Caenorhabditis elegans: one gene and its partners. The protein of the gene in region 2 purifies or fractionates together with the protein of the main gene of each other region. This does not show direct contact. Each region holds a gene or a part of one and is shown on either strand. Other genes may lie near its edges. The genes, in order: tbca-1, smap-1 and asp-3.

Evidence for each region.
Region 1: the proteins of smap-1 (region 2) and tbca-1 fractionate together in Caenorhabditis elegans (co-fractionation; one large-scale study listed by BioGRID). This does not show direct contact.
Region 3: the proteins of smap-1 (region 2) and asp-3 fractionate together in Caenorhabditis elegans (co-fractionation; one large-scale study listed by BioGRID). This does not show direct contact.

What each region holds. Positions count from the first base shown.
Region 1 is NC_003279.8:2,308,723-2,316,189, reverse strand, and holds tbca-1 (Tubulin-specific chaperone A), read right to left. Parts: upstream 3,695-7,467; 5' UTR 3,681-3,694; coding exon 3,492-3,680; intron 3,441-3,491; coding exon 3,294-3,440; 3' UTR 3,233-3,293; downstream 1-3,232. Other genes in the region: eif-2gamma (protein-synthesizing GTPase), read right to left, coding at 430-534, 586-1,194, 2,029-2,419, 2,477-2,682, 2,727-2,815, 2,870-2,879; 5-cytosine rRNA methyltransferase nsun-4, read right to left, coding at 4,145-4,348, 5,016-5,091, 5,134-5,336, 5,943-6,464, 6,514-6,673, 6,981-7,213; Y39G10AR.9 (WD_REPEATS_REGION domain-containing protein), read right to left, coding at 7,408-7,467.
Region 2 is NC_003281.10:10,733,801-10,742,312, reverse strand, and holds smap-1 (Arf-GAP domain-containing protein), read left to right. Parts: upstream 1-2,520; 5' UTR 2,521-2,534; coding exon 2,535-2,656; intron 2,657-2,962; coding exon 2,963-3,660; intron 3,661-3,871; coding exon 3,872-4,344; intron 4,345-4,867; coding exon 4,868-5,062; 3' UTR 5,063-5,420; downstream 5,421-8,512. Other genes in the region: tbb-1 (Tubulin beta chain), read left to right, coding at 1-53, 99-904, 955-1,332; tass-1 (Protein FAM32A), read left to right, coding at 1,547-1,668, 1,707-1,788, 1,833-1,952.
Region 3 is NC_003284.9:6,787,566-6,796,077, reverse strand, and holds asp-3 (Aspartic protease 3), read right to left. Parts: upstream 5,015-8,512; 5' UTR 4,888-5,014; coding exon 4,829-4,887; intron 4,749-4,828; coding exon 4,472-4,748; intron 4,421-4,471; coding exon 4,316-4,420; intron 4,263-4,315; coding exon 3,507-4,262; 3' UTR 3,369-3,506; downstream 1-3,368. Other genes in the region: sgca-1 (Dystroglycan-type cadherin-like domain-containing protein), read left to right, coding at 6,551-6,701, 6,747-6,845, 6,930-7,037, 7,094-7,186, 7,237-7,360, 7,404-7,566, 7,624-7,713, 8,123-8,301 and 1 more. UniProt on the Caenorhabditis elegans protein: Aspartic protease. Part of the necrosis cell death pathway. Involved in neuronal cell degeneration. Involved in heat stress response.

The DNA of each region.
Region 1 (7,467 bases), on a different chromosome or scaffold from region 2:
AAATTCAGATGAAATTCGAAAATTTTCTAGCGGCCTACAACACCGTAAACATTCTACAAAAGTCTCATCGCGGCGAGACCATCTGCGCAAGGAATGAAACCTCCCTTTAAGGTGGGTTACTGTAGCCTGCACTTTTCGTTTTGTTTTTCAAAACCTGAATCTTTGCTGCAATTATAAAATGTATTTCCAGATTTTACTCAAATCCAATAATTTATCGAAAAAACACCAAGCACACTTTCAACAAAAAGAAAAATAATCAATGAAACTGGAAGTGGAATAGTAGGAAACAGGAGGAGGACAGAAAAAAGAACCAAAACAGGGATCCGACAAAATTTTTTGGACTAATAGAGAGACAAAAACGGAGAGAAACAATTGGAAAAGATTAATAATATGTCAAAACCGGTGTAGACAACAAATCGATGATAGCCGCTAGTTCTTGTACGGCTCAACGGTTTGACCTTTGCGAATGGTTCCCCAGCCAATCAGGCGCCAACTCTTCTCGAAACGACGTGACATGGCAATCTTCTCTCCAACCTGAATTTAAATACAAATTAAATTTATTATTTTATAAAAAGTGGGAATTACCTCTGTGCAAATAGGATCGTTTAATCTGATCTTCGCGGCGTCTCCCTTCACAGCAGTAACTCTTCCTCCCGTTGACAACGATCCAATGTTCACCAGCAAAGTCTCTTCCTTGACAAGCTTCTGCACCTTGGCTCCCTTCTTCTTTCCTTCAGTACGAACTCCGAGCAATCTTCTCAGAAGATAGAAGGAGATTTCAATTTCGATGAAGATATCTGGAAGAGTGCCAACGGCTCCGAGGATGTGACCGACGAGTCGATCTCCACGGCAGAGTGTCGGGTCGATCTTCGTTCCAACACCGATGAGACCGCCGGGAACGGCGTATTCCAGCTGGTTCTTTTCGGCAAACAGAGAGTCGATACGGGAGAAGATCGGACGGCATTGGAGTTGACCGGTCGCGGTTTTTGAGACGATTCCCGGGCGAACTTCGATTTCTTGTCCGACGCGCAGAATTCCCTTGGTCAATGTTCCTCCGGCGACTCCTCCCTTCAAGTTTTCAACTTCAGATCCTGGCTTGTTAACATCGAATGATCGGATAATGATGAGACGAGCCGGCGACTTGAAGTCACGGACTGGCACGGGGATTTTCTTGCAAAGATACTCGCAAACGAGCTGAAAAATCGCAATTAATCTAGTATACACGCTCTCCTCAAGCGTTCATAATTATTAGAGCGCGCTCGCGCGGCCCCTCACGAACTCCAGAATTCGCGGGGACAGCAGTTTTAGGCGGCTGTTTTTGGCTTCTATGGAAATTATTTTTAATTTTTTGTTTAATAATATTGTTGAGAAGCACCATCCGAATTGAAAATGTGTAAAATTATGAAATCTGACCGAAAACTGAAGGTTTTACAGAGAGGAGTCACCACGGCTTTCTTTAAAATGTATCAGTACAGTCAGTTTTTCGATTTCAGAGTCGTAGAATATGTTATTTTGTAGAGAAAAGTCTGTTTCACAAAAATCCATGTTTGAAATTTTAAAATTGTTCTTATGAAAAACTGAAAATTTGAAAAAATTAGATTCTAACGTAAAATTGTTGATTTTTTGAATATTTTTATATTAGAAATTAAAAAATTAAAATTTCAAACATGGATTTTCGTGAAACAGACTTACAAAATGACATATTTTACGACTCTGAATTCGAAAAACTGACGGTACTGATACATTTTAAAGAAAGCCGTGGTGACTCCTCTCTGTAAAAACTTCAGTTTTCGGTCAGATTTCATAATTTTACACATTTTCAATTCGGATGGTGCTTCTCAACAATATTATAAATCAAAAAAATTAAAAATAATTTCCATAGAAGCCGAATATAGCCAAAAACTGCTGTCCCCGCGAAACGAATTCCCGCGAATTCTGGAGTTCGTGTGGTGCCGCGCGAGCGCGCTCTAATAATTATGAACACTTGAGGAGAGCGTGGTATATTTAAATCCAGATTCAGATCCTTACATCAACATTATATTTAAGCTGCGCAGAAATCGGGATGACTGGAGCATTCTCGGCGACCGTTCCTTGCACAAATCCGGCGATTTGCTCGTAATTTTCGCGGGCTTGCGACTCCTTGATAATATCGACCTTGTTCTGAAGAATCATCAAATGATTCAGCTGCATAATCTCGACGGCGGCGAGATGTTCAGATGTTTGTGGCTGTGGGCATGGTTCGTTTCCGGCGACGAGCAAGAACGCGGCGTCCATGACAGCGGCTCCGTTCAACATGGTGGCCATAAGAATGTCGTGACCTGGGCAATCGACGAATGAGACGTGGCGAACACAGGTGAATTCTCCACCGCATCCGGCGCGCTCGCATGGGAACCGATCGGGTGTTGATGAACCGGCGGATCTGAATTAGAATTCAAAAATTATTTATTTAAATTAAATTTCAGGGAGATATTATAACCTGTAACATCCTGGCCTTGGGCACTCTTGGTTAGAACATCTGTAGATCTTTGCATTAGCGTATCCAAGTTTGATAGTAATATTTCTTTCCAACTCTCTTTTGAACTTGACAGTATGCACACCGGAGAACGCTTTCACCAGAGTGGATTTTCCATGGGCTACGTGGCCAATAGTTCCGATATTAATCGTGGCTTGTCGAGAGATAACCTGAAAAATAACTCTTTAACTCAAAAATTATTGATTTTCAGTACCTCCTCGGTGAGTGGGTTCAAATTATCGACTCCGACTTTGTCCAAATCTTGTTTCGCAAGCCAGCTCTGGCACTTGTCCTTTTCAGCTTCTAAATTAAGAAAGAATTATGAAATTTTCTTGAAACCGAAAAGCTAACACTTACCAGAAGCCATATTTTTTGTTTTTATGATCCCAGTTGAGTCGATTATTGATCTTTAAAAAATTATCATTATAATTAATCGAAATTACTCAAAATTAATTGAAAATCCATAAAGATTGCATAGAAAACAGGCTAAAATTGGATAAAATTAGAAATGGGTTAAAGGCGCATGGGAGTGGTTGGAAGGGTCTCGATGCGATTTCGTGTGTCGATTTACGAGCTCGAATTTTATGTTTTGCTTTTTAGCGCGAACCAGGCAAAAATCGTTGAATTAACGGACATCTGTATATTTTTCGTATGGAAATATTAGCGAAATTGCTTCTTAAAATTATTTATACGGCATTATAAACCATGTATTCAAGTAAAATGCAATAATTATTCATCATAAATCACCGAAAATCCCAAAATAACAAAAGAGTATCATAAATTAAGCAGAAATGGAGTCCACAAGCGTCTTCGCATTGACGAATTCTGCGGCTTCCTCCGGATAATTCCCAGAAGCAATCGATTCACGGAGGTCGGCCACAGCTTTTTGGAGACGTGATTGAGAATCGCGGACCATGTTGGCAGTTTCCTGAAAATATTTTAATTTCGTATACTCGTAAATCGGATTATTTCAAAAAACCTTAACAATATCCTTCGACTTCTTGGCAACATACTCCTCGTCCTCGTTGGTGGCGTCGGCGGCGAGTTGGGCAGCCTTCTGCTCCTCCTTCACAACTTGCTTCTCGTAATAGGCGACTTCTTTGACGAGACGTTGCACGGTTCCCGTCTTGATTCGGAGCGCTTTCAGCTGATCGGCTTGGGTCGACATGGCGGCGGGAGGTTCTGCAATGTGAATTTTTGAAACAGAGAACGAGATTGTGAGCTTGCTTTTATGGACTAAAAATCGATAGAAAAAGGCGCAATACCACCGAAAATGTTGTGCTCAATGAGCCGAAAAAGGACGGGAAAGCGAGCAGATGGTCAGACACGCTCGGCGATTTCGAAATAAATACAAATTGACCGCTGTCTGTTGGGCGACACAGGTTCCCGCCAAAAAATCGACTGTTCAAATGATTTCGCAATACATACATAGAGAACGAACAAGAAGGATCAATGAAAAATTCTATGAATTTGAAATTAGGTACTGATGGAACGGCAGATGCACCCATGGGGGTACTGCATAAATAATAAAATTTTAAAACAAGACATAAATTTAAAAATTCAGATTTAAAAAAAACAAACAAAAAATAGCAAAATCTAGAAATTTAAAAAAATTCATCAAATATTAAAAATCTATTGCAATCTGGTCAGTTTGCAAATATACATTGGTCCAAAGTTAGAGGGTAGAAACGGCACGACGAGGGCTCCCAGTGGAGTGTCATGGAAACGATAGAGGCCTGATGACGTCATATGGGATACGAGTTGATGTAGGGATTCCTCGACGGTCACGATTCCAAAGTCATTGCGTACGACGGCTACAGCGTTCTCGACGACTGCCTGAAGAAATTTGAATTAGCATTTTTGAGCTGTTATTTCGACAAAAAACCCCGGTCTCGACACGCCAGAAGTACTGTAGCCGCGAAAGTACGCAATCACCGGATCCTACGAAAAAATGCATGCAGAATTTCGGGATTTTTTTTGAGGGAAAATGTTGGGATCGGGCGAGAGTTGAAGCCAGAATCAAATTTTTAAACGGAAATCGTCAAAATTTGAAATTTTGATTTGATTTTCTCAACTGTTTAGTGAAAATTCGAGATTTATAGTGTTAAAAGAAACGATTTCTTCACATTTTAAACTTTTGTGAAACTATCAGAGCAAAATTTGAGCATTTCGGGGTACTGTAGCGGTGAAAATACGCAAACACGGCAGGGAGCGCAAAAAAAAATGCAGAATGCGATTTTTTTTAAACTAAAATTGGAAAATAGCCGAATATTGTTTTGAAAAATTGAGTTTTTCACGTTTTTTGTAAAATTTTCATCGATTTTTCATCAATTTTCGAATTTTTTACAAATCGAGAAAAAACTATATTTGTCATCATTTTTCAAGGAGTTTTTCAAAAATCGATGCAACAAAAAATTTGGAACTACAGTACTCCTTAAAGGCGCATATATTTTCCTATTTAACAAAAAAATTTGTCGTGCCAAGACCAGGTTCGAGCGAAAACCTCGTTTTGGCTTGGTGAGAGTGTGCACGTCGAGTAGACAACCGAGCCACCAACTTTTACAGATCGCAGTGCATTTCTGAAAGGAAAAATAATTTGAGGGAAAGCCGAGGATCCTTACACAAGAATCTTGGTCTGAAGAACCGGAAGATCAAGCCTCTGCTGAGTGGATCCTGTGCTGAAAAGGTTTCCGTCGTCGGTGCTGACTGATAGACGATCCGTCGAGCACGGAACATCGACGAGCACTTTATCGTAGGCCTCGAATTCATCCCAAGTTTTGACGTCGGACGCGTCCTTGCGTTTTAGGACGAATTTGTCGATTGTCTGCAGGAAAATTTTTGGAGTTTTAGCTAATTTTGGAGGGATTTATATTTAAAAAAAAGAATTTTCGACATTTTTTAATCGAAAAAAAAAACTCTAATTTCAAAAAATTGTTTTATTTTCTGATTTTCCTCAAAAGAGCAGAAAAAAGTTGAAATAATTCGTATTTAATTCAATTTTCTCACTGAAAACCCAATTTTTGAGGTGTTTAAATTGGAAAAATTCGAAATTTAAATCTTGAGAAAAATTCACATTTCTGAATGAATTTTCAGGTGTTTTTAACGAAAATCGTCATTTTTTCAAGTAAATTCTAGAAAATCGAGTGAAAATTTCAAATGTTGGTTTTTTTAAAGAAGATTTCAAACTATGGAAAAAAGTTAAGTGAAATTTCGAGAAAATTCTAGTAATTTAAGCAAATATTCGAAAATTTTGGAAATTTTTGAGCCATTTTTTGGTGAATTTTCGGATTTTAAATTTTAAAAAAATTCCGAATTTTAAAGAATTTTTTTGCGAAAAAAATCGGCAATTTCTCCAAATTTGTCAAAAAATCAATTTTTTTTTCAGAAAAATTTGACTTTTTTGTTTTTTTTACAAAAACTGATATTGCACCTCGCTATCCTCTGGCACATATGTCATAAGCGCACGCTTCAGCTGCCCAAGCCTGGCCAATTTGAAATCATTACAAACGATTTTCGAAGGCAAATTCGACAGAGCCGCTAGAAGACTTTTTCCACCGGGAGCCGCACACATATCCAACAGGGAATCGTCTTTTTGAAGGCCCAAAGCCAAAACTGGGAGCAGTGAGCCACCGTCTAGAAGCCAGTAACTCGGAACTCCGACTTCATCTTTCATCGGAGCCGGGAAGTCTAGAAGGACAGCTCTATCGAATGAGCGGACGTGGAGGGCCTGTGGATAATAGAAAAAGTGATCTCTTTTCGGGATTCGAACGCCTTCTCCTTCAAATCCGGTGATTTCTACATTTTTATTTTGATTAGATTGTCCTAATCCCATCTGCAGACTTCCAGACGAGAGCTCTCCAGCGCTCGCCCGGAACTCGCCGAGCCCTGCAGCAGATCGAAAAATCGCTTCATCCGGCTCAGAATCTTCAGTATTGGTCGAAGTTGAGGGATTCTGAAATTATAATTCGATTTTTAAGCAGCAAGATCAGTAGGAAACTTACTGAAATCTCATGCTTAACCTTTTGAGTCTCCCGATTCGCTTTTTCCTCAACGCTTTTCCGTTTTGTCTCAATCGCTTGGTCCTCGGCTTTTCCACGAATTGAGGCAAGCAAATCCTTGGCGCCCATGTCAGAGAGAATTTCATCGTGAGCTTGCCAGTTTCTGTAAGGTTTTCGGTTAAAATTTTGAGAAACATTTGAAATAAAAGCATATTTTCCTTAAAAAATCAAAAAATCATCCTTGCGTAAATCGACACAAGTTTAAAGGTACATACACTTTGACAGCTGGGTCTCGCAGAGAATTTGGTATAAATTTGAATTTTTCGAGAAGTTCAACGGGAATTTCAAATTTCAGGACAAATTTTGAGCAATATTTAGCAAATAAAATCAAAATATTCTTAAAAATTGACATAAGAAAATCATAAATTAAAATTTTTGGCAATTTCCACGGGAATTTCAGATTTCCGAACCTGCTCATTGTATTCATAACTGCTAAATATCGATTCGGAGACAGAAGGCCCAGCCGAATACTTGGCCATTTCTTTCCAAAAAGTGGGCCATAATAAAAATCAAAATGATCCAGCGCCTGGGCTGATGGCGTTTTCAGTGGCTTCGTTTTTGCGATTTTTGTCTTGAACTTGACAGTTTTCCATCTAATTTGAGTGAAATAGAACGATTGTGAGGATTGTCGCAGACAGCTCATTCTGAATTAAATTTACTTATTCAAGTAATTTTAGAAAAAAAAAGGGAAAATTGGTAAAACTGATGAAATAAAAGGTTTTAGGACCAAATTAAAAACAAAATAAATTGGGATTTCTACCGGTTAATCACAGATTTATATTCAAAAATATGTAGTTCAATAATAGTTAAACATAAGAAATATATAATAATACTCAATTACAAGCTCCATTGCGCCTTGTAAGTTCGAATTTTGCCATCACGACAACATGTATAAAT
Region 2 (8,512 bases):
AGAAAGCGATCTCCAGCTGGAGAGAATCGATGTCTACTACAACGAGGCCAACAGTATGTTTATCTAAGATAAAGCAGTTCTTATTTCGATCTTTTCAGATGGCAAATACGTTCCACGTGCAGTCCTCGTTGATCTCGAGCCAGGAACGATGGATTCTGTGCGGTCCGGTCCTTTCGGACAACTCTTCAGACCAGACAACTTTGTTTTCGGACAATCTGGAGCTGGAAACAATTGGGCCAAGGGACATTACACCGAGGGAGCAGAACTTGTTGACAACGTGCTCGATGTGATCCGCAAAGAGGCTGAAGGATGCGATTGTCTTCAAGGATTCCAGCTCACACACTCTCTTGGAGGTGGAACCGGATCCGGAATGGGAACCCTTCTCATCTCCAAGATTCGCGAGGAATTCCCAGATCGAATTATGTCTTCCTTCTCGGTTGTTCCATCACCAAAGGTTTCGGATACCGTCGTCGAGCCGTACAATGCCACCCTCTCTGTCCACCAGCTTGTTGAGAACACCGACGAGACTTACTGTATCGATAACGAGGCTCTCTACGATATCTGCTACAGAACTCTAAAGCTCACCAACCCAACATACGGAGACCTGAACCATCTCGTGTCTCTCACAATGTCTGGAGTGACTACCTGCCTCCGCTTCCCTGGACAGCTGAACGCTGATCTTCGCAAGTTGGCTGTCAACATGGTTCCATTCCCACGTCTTCATTTCTTCATGCCTGGATTCGCTCCACTCTCCGCCAAGGGAGCTCAGGCTTACCGTGCATTGACTGTCGCCGAGCTTACTCAACAAATGTTCGACGCCAAGAACATGATGGCTGCTTGCGATCCAAGACACGGAAGATACCTCACCGTTGCTGCTATGTTCCGTGGACGCATGTCCATGAGAGTAAGTTCATCGATTGCTTGTAACTTTTCACTATATGCTTTGTTTTTCAGGAGGTTGACGAGCAGATGCTCAGTGTCCAGAACAAGAACTCCTCGTACTTCGTTGAATGGATTCCAAACAACGTCAAGACTGCTGTGTGCGACATCCCACCACGTGGACTCAAGATGGCTGCCACCTTCGTCGGAAACTCCACTGCTATCCAGGAGCTCTTCAAGCGTATCTCGGAGCAATTCACCGCCATGTTCCGCAGAAAGGCCTTCCTTCATTGGTACACTGGTGAGGGTATGGACGAGATGGAGTTCACCGAGGCTGAAAGCAACATGAACGACTTGATCTCGGAGTACCAACAATACCAGGAAGCTACCGCCGAAGACGAGCCACTCGACGAGTTCGCCGGAGAAGGGGAGACATACGAGTCTGAGCAATAATCTGTGTATCAATCACTAAATTATCCTGCCCCGTTTCGTAATTTCCTGTACAATGATCTTTTCTTTCGCCCACTCCCAATATTTTTATGACTCGAATGAACGATGATTAATTTAAACTTTTTTCCAGTGTTCTCATTATGTTTCAATCATTAAAATATCTTGCAAAAGCTCGATAGAAGGTAGACACTGGTTCACAATTTTCATATTCAGAACAATGAAAGACACAGTCGTCAAAGGATCTCTCAAGTTGAAAAAAGTATCGACAGAAGCGCCAAAGAAGACTAAAAAGAGTAAGCCAGCTATGGACTTGAAGCAAGTTGACATGACGATCAGAAGGTATGTGTAATCCGAAACCAGACAGCTAACGGTCCCAGAGATTCCAGAAACACTTCCGGCGGTGGGCCACACAAAACCGAGGCTGAGCTTCGGTTCGAGGCTAGAAGACAGGCGAACATGGTAGGCGCTTTTTTTTTTAATACTTAAAATTCACATAATTTCAGGCGGAAAGAATGCTGAAACAGGCGGCGTTGAGTCATCGTGAAAAGGTGGAGAAGTTGAACAAGCAGCTCGGCGAGATGACAGAATTCAACGACATTCCAAAAGTTTCCTGGACGAAATAATAATAATAATCTCTCTCTCTCTCTCTCTCTCTCTCTCTCTCTGTACTTTACTTGAATCATTTGTGCATAACTGTCAATAAATCTTTTTTGGTTTTTTTGCTCCAAAATGTATATTTTCCTTGATTAATTCGTGAATTTTCGTAGCTTGAAAATCCTGTACTTCTAATAAAATGCCATGGCCACGTCATTATAATTCTCCAATAATTCCCACTTTGCGTCAAATTCGGCGTATTCACAGACAAAGAGTGTCTGCGTCTCTCCGTCTCTCGCCTCTGTCCTCACACACGCCCTCATTTGCGCGAGAGCCTGACACCGGCTCCGTGAAGCTGGAGCCGACTTCATTGATTATTCGGGTTACTGGCCTCACACACACGTTCTTCTCAAATTTCAGTGGAACTCGAGGAAGCTCAGAATTTATCATTTTTTCATATTATCTCCTCTTTTGTGCATTTCCCAATTTCCCACGCGTCATCGTCGTCGAATATTGATTGAGTTGCCCTTTTCTCTCTTATCATTTTCAACATCACGTTTCCGCATTTTCATTTCCATCGAGTTCAAGGTTTTTCAGTTTCAGAAGCACAAATGCTGCGAGGTAAAGTGGATCCGAAGAAGGAAGAGCAGGAAAGACTGCAAGGCTTCCTGTTGGACATGCTCAAGGAAGAGGAGAACAAGTATTGTGCCGATTGTCAGGCGAAAACGCCAAGGTGAGAATTTGAGACGAAAATCTGGAAATTCGCGAATTTAATATAGTATATTTCGGCTTAAAATCGTTATTGCAGTAAATTTACAGGTTTGCCGGAATAATTCTTTCGAAAACTGAAAAAAGTCAAAAATTATTTTTCCGCTTGGTTACAGTTTTTAGACTTTTTTTGTCAATGCAAAACCTTCGCGGATTTATTGGTCCAAGGAATTATTCCGATAAATCCACAAATTTCAAAATTTACCCCAAAAACCGTGCCAGGATTGCAAAAATTGCAGAAATAACAACAAAAAATCAATATTTATTTCAGATGGGCTGCCTGGAACCTCGGCGTCTTCATCTGCATCCGATGCGCCGGCATCCACCGTAACCTCGGCGTTCACATCTCAAAAGTGCGCTCAGTGAATCTGGACTCGTGGACGCCCGAACAAGTGCAGACGATGCGGGTGATGGGCAACGAGAAGGCCCGACAAGTCTACGAACATGATCTACCAGCGCAATTTCGGCGGCCCACCAATGATCAGCAAATGGAACAATTCATTCGGAGCAAGTATGAACAGAAACGGTATATTCTGCGAGATTTCGTGTATCCAAGAGTTGACGCGAGCCAGCTGCCGAAATCATTGTCTCAGGCACAGAAGAAGGTCGGAACGCCCGTTGTGAACATTGCATCACGTGGAAGTAGCTCTAGCAATGGACATTCGACGGCTTCAGCTGCTGCTGCTGCTCCATCGCTTCTAGATTTTTCTGATCCTCCAGCCAGCACAACTCCTGCTAAGAAGGCCGTCAACTTATTCGACGACTTTGATGGATTAAGTCTAGGACCAGCGGCTCCGGCAGCAGCTCCAGCTGCTCTCAACGATGATTTCGACGATTTCGGATCATTTGTCTCGGCGAACTCACAAAATGCTCAACAGAATGCTCAATCTCTTGGAGGAGGATTCGCCGATTTCTCATCGGCTCCAACGACAGCAGCTGCAGCGCCTTCAGCTTCTTCTGGCCTCGATGGTATTGAATTTTCACCTGGTCTTTGTCGCAAAAAAAGATAATCAAAAAATTGAGGAAAAATGTATGAAAATTGAACCAAATTTCAATTCCTAATTTTTATCCAAAAAAAAAGTCATTTTTCGGGACCTTGGAAAATCGAACAAGCGGGAACCAAAATTCATTTGTTTTTCACTTTTGTAAATAATTTTTTTAAATGATTTTTCCTTTTCAGATCTCACCGCTCTCTCCTCAACGGCTCCAGCGACAAATGGAAGTGATCAAAAGAAAACCAACGCAGATATTCTTTCGCTTTTCGGCCCATCTGGTGGCATATCGGCTCCGAATGTAGTTGCTCCCGGAGGATTTGCCGGATTTGGACTGCAAGCTGCTCCGGCTCAAATCCCGCAACAAGCTTCTTCGTTCCACCAATTCGGGGCTCCAGCTCCAGCTCCACAACAAAATGATATGTTTGGAGGACTGTCGGGTATCAATTTTGGAGCACCACCACCATCGGCTCAAATGTCTCAAATCCCACCAATGGCTCCACCACAATACTTTGGAGCTGCTCAATTTGGAGCAATGTCTTCCAGTGGATTCGGTGGAATGAGTATGCAGTCTAAACCAACGCCTACTTCACCAACTGGATCACAAGGATTCAATATTCCGAATAAATCGAATGCTTTCGCTGATTTGGCACTTGGAAAGGTACAATTTTGGCACTTTTGAGCGTTAAAATTCTAGATATATTGAAGAAAAAAACTAGAAATTTAGCAAAAAATTCAAAATTAAAATTTTTTTCCAAACAAAATACCCGTTTTTCGATAACTCTCGCTTTATGCTTTTTTTTCAAGCAAAATACCTTATTTTTCAGAAAAAATTGTCTGATTTTCGTTGAAAAATAAACGAGTATAATCAAGAAAAAATCATATCATTTTTTACCAATTTTTGCATGAATTATTAACTAGAAAGTTCCGGAAAAAACATCCAAAAGCACAATTAATTTGGATTTTTGTTTCAAATTTCCTAGGTTTTTGTACCGAAAAGAATTCACATTTTTTATTGAATAATTTCACAATTTTTTTTGGAAAAAAACCAGCAATTTGATGCAATTTTTTGAAAAAAAAAGTAAAGTTTTGAAAAAAATTTCGATCATTAAACTAAAAAAAGTCGAACCTGATTCGATATTTCTTGAAAAAAAAAATTAACCTATTATAATTTTTTTTTCCAGGTAATGAAGACAAACTACGGACAAAGTGCAATTCATCACCAAGCGGCACCAATTTCCTCTAATAGAGCGTCACCGATGCCGGCACAATCCAACACTGCCGCCAACAATGATCTTTTCGATATGTTCGCCTCGGCACCGCCACCGGTTACAGTCAATTCGTCTTCGTCTGGACTTGACGACCTCCTTGGACTCTGAAAAACTAGTTTTCCACCTAAAAAATGCATAATTTGACCTGTGATTTTATTTTTCTTTTCTCCCTCTCTAAACACTTTCTTTCCTAGGAAACTGCGCTTCTTTTTGTGATTTTTTTCTAGTAAATTATTATTCTCATCAACATTTCCCCCCGATAAAGTTCGGTTGTGTGAGCCCCAGAAATTCCAGTCCCTTCAGCATATCCGAAATGTGTATTAGGAATACTACAACTTTTTTTTCAGATTTCTATAGCCCCTCTCTTTTTCTTTCTCCTTCAACGTACTAATTCATGCTTAAACTGATTTTTAATGTGTTTTTTTTTCTGTCGAATGAAATTTATCGAGATTCCTAATCTTGAACTAAAATTTCGACTGAAAATGACTTTTGTCGACCCCCGGCGAAATAGTACGAGAAACGAGTAGCACGCAGACATGTTCGTCCTGATTCCGGTGGGAAATATCACACGAATCGTGGAGACGCAGCAGAAAAGCCGAATGAGGCGGAATGCGCGGGAGGGAATTGGGCTGAAGAAGACGAAGAAGATGAAAGGAAACCACAATTATCGTTCTTCGGTTTGAACATTTCGATTATTTTTGTTTTTCCTTTTTTTCTCTTCCGTTAGTTTTCTCGATTTTTCTGGAGATTCGGTTTAATCCGGTTTTTTTTTGCGAAAATTTAATTCCAAAATGTGCCAACTGTAAAGGCGCACATCTTCTACCCTTGCATGGGTTCTGCAACGATCAAAGTCAGTTTGAGAGAAGTGAGCATGTGCCTTTAAAAATTACTGTAATTTCAAACTTTCCTGCGAAGTTTCTCTCGAGTTTTGTTAAAATTTAAGTGTTTTATTGCTATATTTAATTTTAAAAAAAGCGAATGTTAATTTCTTCGAAAATTTTTTTTAAACAATTGATGAAAATTTATGCTCCACAGCAACAAAAGTTTGATATATAGTACTATTTAAAGGCGCATACCTTTTCAAAATTAAAAAATTTTTGCCGTGTCGAGACCCAAAACCAGGCTTCGTATTTGTTACTCAAAAATCGAAACATTTCGTGGGTTAAAAAATACTTTTAAGGGTTTTTGAGACAATTTAACTCCCGATATTTCAAGAAATATTCCATTTCTTCTCCATTTTCAAATTTTCAAAGAAATACACGTAATAAGTGGGCGGAGTCTAGCACAACGGAGTGTCGTTTACAACAAAAAACAACTGAACAATTCATAATTCTCGACCCCCACGGGAGGGCATAATTCGTATGCAAACTGGTTCTCTGGTCGCTTGGAGAAGGTTTTTTTTTCAAAAAAAAAAAATAAAGTTCGACGGTATATGCTGTGTGCAGTAATGTATGATTCATGTATGATGCATTTTTATATTGAACTCTCCACATTTTTCTAAATGTAATTTTTTATTCTCATTGTTATATACATACGACTTATTGTATTGGAAAAAGTCACTTTTATAAAAAAACATATTTATAACAATTTTTGGAATTTTTCACATAAAAAAATGTTCGAAAAGTTTTTATTTTATGGGCGCCCGTTGGGTCTCGATACGATCATTTTTGTATCTAACTGAAAAATTTTAATATTAAAGGCACATGGCGCCTTGCCAAAGTTGGGTACCCGCCACAAATCTGGGTGATTTTTTTTGTAAATTTAATTTTTGAAAGAACTTTTTTTCATTAAAAATATTTCAATCATGGGTCCCACCACGATTCTCGTCACTTCAAAATAAAACCTACGATATTCGTGGCGAGACCCATAATGTATGGATTTCCCAGATGTATAATAACTCTGAATATCCTTCAAAATCCCAACCTAATACAATTCCCAAAATAAAAAAGAAGCAACGTCCTTTTACAAATGTCGAGGTCAACATTCCAATTGAGAATTACTTCATTGAAGTACTCCGGACATATTTTCTACCGGATTCTTGATTTGTACAAAAAAAATCTGGAAAATTCGTATTTTCTTTTTAAAAAAGTTCTTGGAATTTTTTCCGATTTTTTCAAAATCGGAAACTGGCTTAAAATTGATACTGAAGTATGACTGTTTTTTCAATTGTTTCAAATATACTGAAATTAAAAAAAAAAAAAATCTGAAAAATTGTTTATTTTAAGACTGAAATATCGATTTTCAAAAATTGTATCCGTATTTGAATATCCTCCAAAATGAGAACAACACAACCAATCAGCGATTTGCGCCGCCCACTTTTCAACCAATCAGATGGAGTGGGCGGAGTTCTAGGACCCTGATTGGTTTGAATGTAGGCAGGGCTTCTCATTTTTGAGGTAATTCAGAAACGGGAAATTAGCAAAAATTAAAAAATCTTATTTTTCTCGAATTTTAATACTCTGGCAATATTCAAAAAATTAAATTATTTTTAAAATTTTTAATTGATACTTTGAACTCTTCTAGAACCCCAAATATTTTTCGGCCACAAAAATCACAAACTACGACTCAATATCTCATGTGTGTCCCTTTAAAAAGTAAACTCAAAACGGCCTGTAAATAGAAGAGTTCTTCTGGGCTCAACAAAGTTTATTTTAGAAAGACTAAAACGTGTAAATACACATTGTGAGTTACAAAAGTGTTCACTCTATTTGCCATTCTTTTCCTATTTTTCTCAACAAAAAAAGTTTGGCAGACTACGAACCAGGTGACCGTGGAGACTACAAGTTTTTTGAGGTTTTTTTTCGGAACATAACTGATTGCACCTCATGGGGACCGAACATTTTCTGATGTTTAGAAATTGTGGTTTATTTTTGGAGTTTTGAAAATCAAAGTTTAGGAACATTTTTTGAAAAATTGAAATTATTGCTTTTTTTTAGAAAAAAGCTTGAATTGTAACTTGAAATATTTGAATTTTTTTCAATTTTCATTTAAAAAAACAAATTGTTTCAGACAAGAGTACCGAAAATAACACTATTTGATGTTTTTTTAATGCAAAAAAAGTTCAAAAAAATATCCGAAAATTCAATTTTTTCAAAAAAAAATCTATAAAATTTATAAAAAAATTAATTTACCAGTTTCAGTGAATTTGCCCAAAGGAGAAATGTGCCTTCAAACACTGTTTGTGGCCTAGAAAAAGCTTCACAAAAAAAATGAAAAAAAAAATCAAATTTTTCGGAATTTGCCACATTTTCGATTTTTGAAAATATTACACTCAAAATAAAAAACTGTGTGGCGTGTACCAGGGGTGTGCGGCAAATTTGCCGATTTGCCGAAAATTGCCGACTTGCCGAATTCGGCAAATTTAAAGAAACCAGCAATTGCCGATTTGCCGAGCACGGCAAGTTTCAAAAAAGTAGATTTGCCGAATTTGCCGAGCTCGGCAAATTTCGAAATTTGCCGCACACGTCAAAAATTTTACAGTACAATTTTGACTAAAATTATTGATTTTTTCGCCAAAAATTTAGTAAAATGACACAAAATTGAGTTAGTTTTATGCTT
Region 3 (8,512 bases), on a different chromosome or scaffold from region 2:
GAATAGTAGATAACACACAAATTGTCGTTGGAGGAGTTGATTAATGGAAATTCGGTTTTTGACACTGCTGCGCGAAGCAAAACTAACTAAATTCCAACGAGTCAACAAATATATAACATTTGATTGTGATCGGGGGACATGAGGTAATTAGCATGTCAGTAGAAAATATGACAATATGGAAGGTAAATGTTGTTATACTGACACACATTTTTGATGGGTTCGCTCATTTGGAGTGAGAGGCTTGAAAATTGCATTTAAATCGAACTTCAATTACTGTATTTCTTCTAATATTACTGCAGGCTAAACTAGTGTTGCACTGAATTAAATATGAACTATGACCAGTGTACAAATGATTAAAAGCCAGTGCTAAAATGACTAAATATCAAAATAAAAACTATTCGAGTTCATCATGTTTAAATTCTTATATTCCAATATTGTAGGGTTTGAACATGCAAAAGTGCTTTAGATTTATCAAAAATCAAAGCGTGCAGAGCGCCTCAGAAATTATGACAACAAGAGTATTTTCAAGTTTTAAAAGACTGGAGATCAGGTTTCTGTCTATTAGAAGCGGTTCTAATAGAAAACGTTCAACACATAAAATAATGACCACAGAAATCTGTAAGTAGGTTCAAAGTTCGTATGACTGAATGGCTCAAAATGTGTTTATGTTTCAAAAACAACAAATCGCTGATGAAATTTTAAATTATGAGTTTCGGTTCAACTTTACGTATTTTCTCTATCCAATTGTTTTATTTTGAAAGGTTCTACCTATTAATTTTGAATTACAAACACTAGAAAACAAAAACCTTTTGTTTATTCTGTTAACAGTTTTTGAGTAGAATAATTGACAATTGACAAGTTTGAAAATTGGGATGAAATGCTAATAGAGGGAAAACGGTAGTAGATTGAATTGAACAAAATTAAATGAACAATTGAACCATGAAACAACTGAATTTTATCATGGAAACTCTTTTGAAAATCTGGCGCCAATAACTGACAGTATTGGGAAAAATGCAATTCAAGAACGCATAGTTTTAATTACAGTTCTCGATATTACAGACAGCCGTGACAGGTTTTGAATTAAACAAAGGAAGAGAACAACACTGATACCACATAATACTAATACTAAATTCTTGATTGTTATGTTGGTGTATGTGTGGAGGGGAAAAAAAGAAAAAAGAAAAGCAGCCGCTTCGTAAAATTGTAGGTGCTTTTTTCTTATTTCAGCATTGCTGCTGTAACTTTTCCGCCTTGCAATTCCAACTCAACAAATTGTACGAGCGCGTTATGAGAGTAAGTTATGTCCGGGAAAAAAAAGAGCGACAGAAAAAGGAAAAGTGTCGTTGAGGAATGGGCTAGTGGGGTTGAGGGAACTGTGATGTGCTGAATAATGTGATGGGAATTGGGAAAAAGAGTGTATTTAGGACGACGAAAAAGCGAGCAAGAAGAGTGGCGACGGGACAGATCGAATAAGAAGCGGTAATTGAAATGAGTCTCCATATGATAGATGACAGAAGGATGCAGGAAAAGAGGCCATCGGATGCGCACGCAAATCACCTGCTCCTCTTCATCCTCCTACATTCCCATTTCTGATCGCACATACTAAGCGTTTTGCCCCTTTTTGGCGAAACCGCCTATGATAATTTCCAAAAGATTTATGAAGCTCTCTTGATGATGCCAGTCCGCCGATGACCAACTAAGCATGTGATCGAAGATAGAGAACTGGAAGTCCACATCAAAAACCAAAAAAGAATTATGAACTGTTTTTTATTCTATCACATCGCGACCAGCAAAGAGATCAGAGTAAGATGAAAGACGATTGATTGATTAATTTTATTATCAGCCACCTATTCATGCATCATATCGCTCAAAATCACAATTTTCACTAAAAGAATAACCTTCCCAGGTGAAGCGTTTTCGAACAATAGGTTTAGATGGTGTATGCATTTTACCCCACCCAATGTGGGAAAATATTTTCAAGGTCTTGTTTCACAGTGAATGGAGAGGTGGTCAGTGGAAATGTGATATCAAACAATAAATAAAATGATGGAATACTATATTGGCTATGAGAAAGTACCAGCGGGTAAATGAAATCTGGAATATTTCAGAAAAATAAATAAAAATGAGAAACACACTTTTTTTTAGTTATGGGTTGCCTATTTATTGGTATCCAAAGTTTTTCAAAGTTAGAATATCGTCAGTGGGGCTGAATACAATTTTTTAAAACTATTTGGAAAAAACGCGAAATGTTGTTTTTTAAAATAAGTTTTTTGCCCAAAAAAGGAAAAAAAATCAAAAATTAGGAAACTAATCTTTTTGTACATTTGAACCGTTTTATGAAAAATTCAATAATTTTGATCAGAATAACATTCTTGTTATAATTCAGATTATATTTTATGGCAAAAATGTAATTTATAAGTTTTTCAGTTAACGGCAGGCTAATATCATTTTTATTAGGTCGCCATTTTTTGAAAAAAAAAGGATAATTAAAATTTGAAAAACACGTAAAAAATAAAAGTCTACAGCCCGATTAGGTCTGAATTCTGAATATTATAGTTTAAATTAATATAATACCATGATGATAAACTACAATTTCTTGTAGCTTGTCGACTGACAATATTATAATAAGTTTTTGACAGTAAATAAAACATTTTAAAGTTTTTAGAATAGTTGTACTTTAAAAATTAGCACATTGCAATGCTTTGCATAGCGTTAGAAAAATATCCAGGGAAAGTTCCCTCAATTAAAAAAAATTTCTCAAAACAAATTTTGAATTTAGTCTAAAACAAAAATTCAGACTTTCAAGTAGAGAAAAAACGGAAGAAAGAAGTTTCGTAACTTCTATTTACGCAAAGCATAAATTCACGTATATTTTCCGAGTCACCGGAAACATGCATTGTGTGCGGTCTTCCTTTACAAACACGACATGGTATTGCACAATAATCGCGCGGTTTTTGCGTGCACAAGTGTATATTTCAATAAAATCTAATCGAACATCTCAAATGTCTCTTCTAAGTTGAGGGGAGGAGGATCGGCTAGCAGGAATAGAAGGAATAGAAGGAAGAATGTCAAAAATATAAACAAATTTCTAACAGATTGTTTGTAGCACAAATGTGCCACTATTCTCTTGGAGGATTCTACGGAAAGTGTTCACTAGTGAGATTTAAAACATGTGGAAATGGAGTGTATCAAAGCATTTGAATCATGCTGGAACAAGTGAGAAAAGTACGAAAATTTCTTGCGTCATGAAAAAGTGAGAACCACATGTTTCGCGAAAGCTTTGGATTTTTTGTTTTCTTTGAGTACAGCATAAAATAAAACTCATAAAATTGTGTTTTCCTCCCACCCAATGTAAACTTTGTTATCAAGAAGCCAGTCAGGGTTTTTAGAATTCTTGCAAACGTATAGAAAGAACTGTTTTAGAACTTCTTATCATCACATAACCACATTTATTACAATCAAGCAAGTAATGGCATAGAAATTGAGTTTTTAAATTAGAAATAGGCTTATTTTCCGGTTCTAGAGGTGGCAAATCCAACTCTCTTGTTTCCATGATCGAAGACCGAGTAGAAGCGTCCGATGAAGACGTCTCCGAGAATCCAGAGTGGTCCGGCTGGGGCTGGAATATCCATTCCCATGAATCCAGAGAGGCAGGTGGATCCTCCGTTTCCGTTGGACATTTGAAGGATGTAGTCCTTTCCTTGAAGATCGAAGTTTTGTCCTCCGAGGTTGAAGGTGATGTTTGGAAGAGATGGAATCTTGCTGCACTCAACTTCGTACTCTCCATTGAAGAGTGGGATTCCTCCGATCTTGTGTTGGATCTTCTTGATGACATCAGTTGGTCCAGTGAGAAGGGAAGTTCCAGTGTCAACAATCGAGTCGATTGGTCCGCTGGTGTAGGTGGTTCCATCGATGACAACCGAAGCGAGCTTGATTCTCCAGTAGTCCTCAGAGACGAGTGGCTCCCAAGCGATGTTTCCGACGTAGTGGTTCGGATCGGTGTCGCAAAGGGTAATTTCTCCTCCGTTGGTGATGTCGTTGGCGTCACGGCTAAGCCAGAAAGCGAATAGTTGATTCTTGCAGATGGCGGAGTTGGCGAAGATTTGGTCCATTGGCTGAGAGATCTTGTTAACAGAGATAGTGTCCCATCCCATTCCGAAGATACCGTCAAACTTGGCAGCGACGAAGGTGATTCCTGGCTCAGAAGTAGCACAGGCCAATCCTTGGTTCTTATCAGTACAGTAGGTGGTATCATGTCCGAACTATAAATATATTTTTCAGCTATATTGTAAATAACATCATAAGATTGACTTACGCAGACAACATCGTTGTCAACGGTTCCCTTCATGGATCCAGTTCCGTATTGGATCTCGAAAGAGGCTCCAGTAGCAGTGCAGGAAGAAGACTTCTTGCAATCAAACTGAAAATTATTTTATTGAAAAAAAGTTGATTTGAATACTTCAAAACTAACTCTGTTGTGCATTCTGCAGGCAATATCTCCGAATGGGCAGTTGGCGCATGGCACCCACAAGTTGGAGGATCCAGTATCGAACAAAACTTGGAAGTTTTGTGGTGGAGTTCCAATGGTCACTGGTCCATAGTATTGAGCATTGGAGTAATCAGAAAGACCCTCGTTGAATGCATCCTTGTTTGGAATGTATCCTGGGACGTACTTGGCCTTAAGATGCTCTTGGATTGATCCGAACTTGTATTGTTCACGAGTGTAAGTGCGCTTCTCGAGCTTGATTCTAAAAAAAGAAGAAACATGATAAATAAATAAAATAAAATAATTTAAATATATGAATGGTATATTAAAAATGTAACTAACCTCTGGATGGCAGAAGCCAAGGCGACAAGAGCCAGAAGAAGGAAAACGCGGCCCGACATGGTGCGTTATCACTAATTGAGAAGCAGCGCTCCGGGTTTCTTTTATATGCGACACAAACTCTTGATGATATAATTGTAAACGTCACAACCGATTTTAGTGATAATTAGTAGAGGAGGTTGGCTGGCTGAAAACGGAATTATTTCCTCTCACCGAGTCAAAAGTTTAGATCGGCTATTAAAGTAGTGTACTTTGTGTGTAAAATGAGGGAAAACCATTAAAAAGTGTCCGGGTTGACAAAATGACTTGCTGACAAGGATCCGGATTTTATAGCGTTCTGTTTGCCAAAAGAACACATTAAACTTTTTCCAGCAAAATCATATGTACTTTCAGCAACAAGTCAACACTGCTTTGTCGTCGTCACACCCTCATCGTCATTCTGATCAAAATAACAATTTCAATGGCCTACAATTCAGATTTGTTCTCCCCTATTAAAATATGACTACACTTTAAAATTAGTTCTAGAAAGTTCCACACGTTAAAAATTTAATCGGCTTATTTTCACAAAATATGAAATCATTATCATTATCGTCAAATTGTCTCACAATTTTCGTTACGAAGTAGATAGGGAATACGAAATCAGAATTTGGACATTGGACTAGATGAAATAAATTGAGAACTGTTGCAGTGGTGGAGCAGGTGTGTATACAATTACTAATAATTTTAGAACCTGAAGTAATTTTTATAAATTTGTTTCATTGAACCAAGTATTGAAGTTTTAAGTAGTAAAACATGTGTTACTATAAATTGGCCGAAAGTTTTTTAACAATATTTTTTGTTGGCTTAAAAACACTTATATTAGTCGTGCATGACCAATAATCATAATATAAATATACATACTTCAAAAACTTTTAGATATATATACTTTTAAGTTGAAATTTTGGAAATTATATTGTTTTCCAGCCACTTCCAGAATTATGATAGGTGAAAACTAAGTTTTCTTGAATTTTCGACTGCACAAAAAATTTAAAAAGTCGTTTGAAAAGTTTCACTATAGTCTTAAACCTTTAAACCACAATTTAAATTTCATTTTCACAACGGCCAATACCCAACCTTTGACAAACTCTGAATTCTAGTTTTTTCAACAAAAAAAAGTGTATAAATGACGAAAATGAAAAAACTTTTTGTAGAATGATAAATTATTTCCCAGCCGCTGTGTCAAGGCTAATTAAACAAAATTGAAGTTTTACCTAGCTCTAGTTTTTTTTAATGATTTTAAAAAGTCTAACTTTGAAAAATTTACAATTTTCTTAATATTTACTCTTTCTTTAACAACTTTTTACCTTTTAGATTAAAAATTGTTCACCCCTTTTCTGAATTTCTGAAAGAGAGACTCTCCTGAAACCAAAATTCCAAATAAAGACATTCATATCACGTTTTCTTTCAAGTATCGTTTTTAATGTATATATTCATTATTTTTATCTTAAAAACATTATTGAGACGACATCAATCAACCCCACCACATCAGTTTATCTCATCAAGTTCATCATGCTCTAAAATATCGTCAACAATGATTTCCCCGGCGGGTCTTGTTGGCAGCTTCCCTCAAACCGCCAACCCAGTTGAGCTGTGTAAAAAGCAAAAGTTTGTGCGGACGGCTCAGCGAGCAGCCGTTGTAAAGGATCTCGTTCCACACATCTCTTTCACACAAAATCTTCACTTAAAATGAAAATTCGTTTACTCGATTTTTCGATATTCTCCATTTTGTTGCTATTTCGAACGTCGAAATCATTCAAAGCTCCTACTCACGTGACTGCAACCAAGGGAAAGTTTTTTGTCCACACTCTCCATTCTGCACACTTTTTCCCGAGCACAGGTGCAAACTATTGATCGTTTTTATCAATTGCTCTTTTATTTTCAGTTAAAGTGAAATGGGAAGCTACGCTAAACAAAAAGCCGGCTCTTCCAAACTGGTTACGTCTCTTACCGTCGCGACACCCGGAAATCGCTTATCTAATAGGTGATCGATTAGTTATTAACACACCAGTACATTCATAAAAATAAAATCATCTTATGATTTTTATCGTAGTTATGTATGTTTCAGGCACACCGGTCACAAATGTGCAGCATGTTACACTACACGTGATTGCGAAACGACTGGATAATTTTGATATACAGCAAAGAATGGTGGTGATTAATTTGGTGGAAGACTGTTAGTTTATAGTTTAGAACATTAAAAAAAAGAAACAGTAAACTGTAATTTTGCAGCATTGTATCAAGGAAATACGCAACAAGTTTTTGAACTGCCAATAAATGGACTAGATGTAGAGGATTTAGTTTCAAATCGAGACAGAAAAATAAGTGAGTAATAAAAAACACACTTTTGTCATCATCATCATAATATTGTTCAGGTCAACTAGAAAACTCATTGCGAAACACATTCCGGGGAAGAAATGTAAACCCATATATTGCAGGTGTTCGCTCCAGATACATTATTCCACGTGGCAAGGAGCACATTTTCAAAAATAGTTTCGGGTAAAAAAATGTTTTAATTCAATTCAGTTTTTGAAAAATTCAGAACAATGGTGTATGTTGGTACACAGCAAAAGTTCTATCCCGGAACCATGTCAATTGTACACAATTTACAAACTATGCCCGAGTTTTGTTCAAATCCCTCATCTGTCGTGATGAATAAGTATTTTGCACCAACATTTCCGGTGGACTGGTGTAATGTTGCGGTAGTAAGAACAAAATAATTAAATTTGTCAACATTCTAAAATGTTTAAATATTAATTCAGAGAAATATTTCATCTCTTGAAGGAGAAGGTATTGATGAATTGATAAAGGATGAACAAGAAGAGAAACTGACAAAAGCGAATCCAGATCAGGTAACTTTTAAACAAAACTCTACATGTTTTGAGAAATGCACAGCTTTGAAGCGACCGTAACTTAGTTTTCATTTGATTATTAGTTTATTCAACATTTTACACTGAAGAATAGCTTAACAAACCAATTGAACGGCTCGAATAAAGTAGTAGCGAGATGGAAATGGACGGATTAGCAAAGTTTGACAGTTAAGCATAAAATATGCATTTGGCCTTGAAATTTTACATAGCCACAATAATCGCGTGCGGTTATCGGGGTGAGCTGGCAAATAGCAAACGAAAGTATTGCGGCAAGTAACCATAACCTGAAAGAAGCGGACCGGGCATGTGATTAATGTTTTCTTCAAATTTTAGAATTTAATTTCAGAAATTTTCAAAAAAAAATTTCAGAAAAAATGTCTTTACATTTCAGAATTTGAACGAAAAACCTGAACAACCCCCACGTGAACTATATGGATACTCAGAACATGGTTTTAGCATCGTCTTATTTGCCATAATTCTTGGTGTTTCAATTCTTTTTGTTTTTGCACTCGTGCTCATTTTTTTTGGGTCAAGAGAAGGGCAGAAATGGAGAGACGACAAAACGTCTGGGTATATTTTACATTTTAACTTCAGTTATTGTACATGTTTGTACATAGCTAATTTACAGTGAAACATTGGGCGAATTCATTAGCATTCGTGACAATCAGAAGAAGCTCCGCGAACTATCACTTCAAAGGCAACTTCTGAGCATGGGACCAGACACGAACTCCACTGCGCCTTCTGGAATTCATTCTTATTTACAATCAAGAAGTAGAGCTCC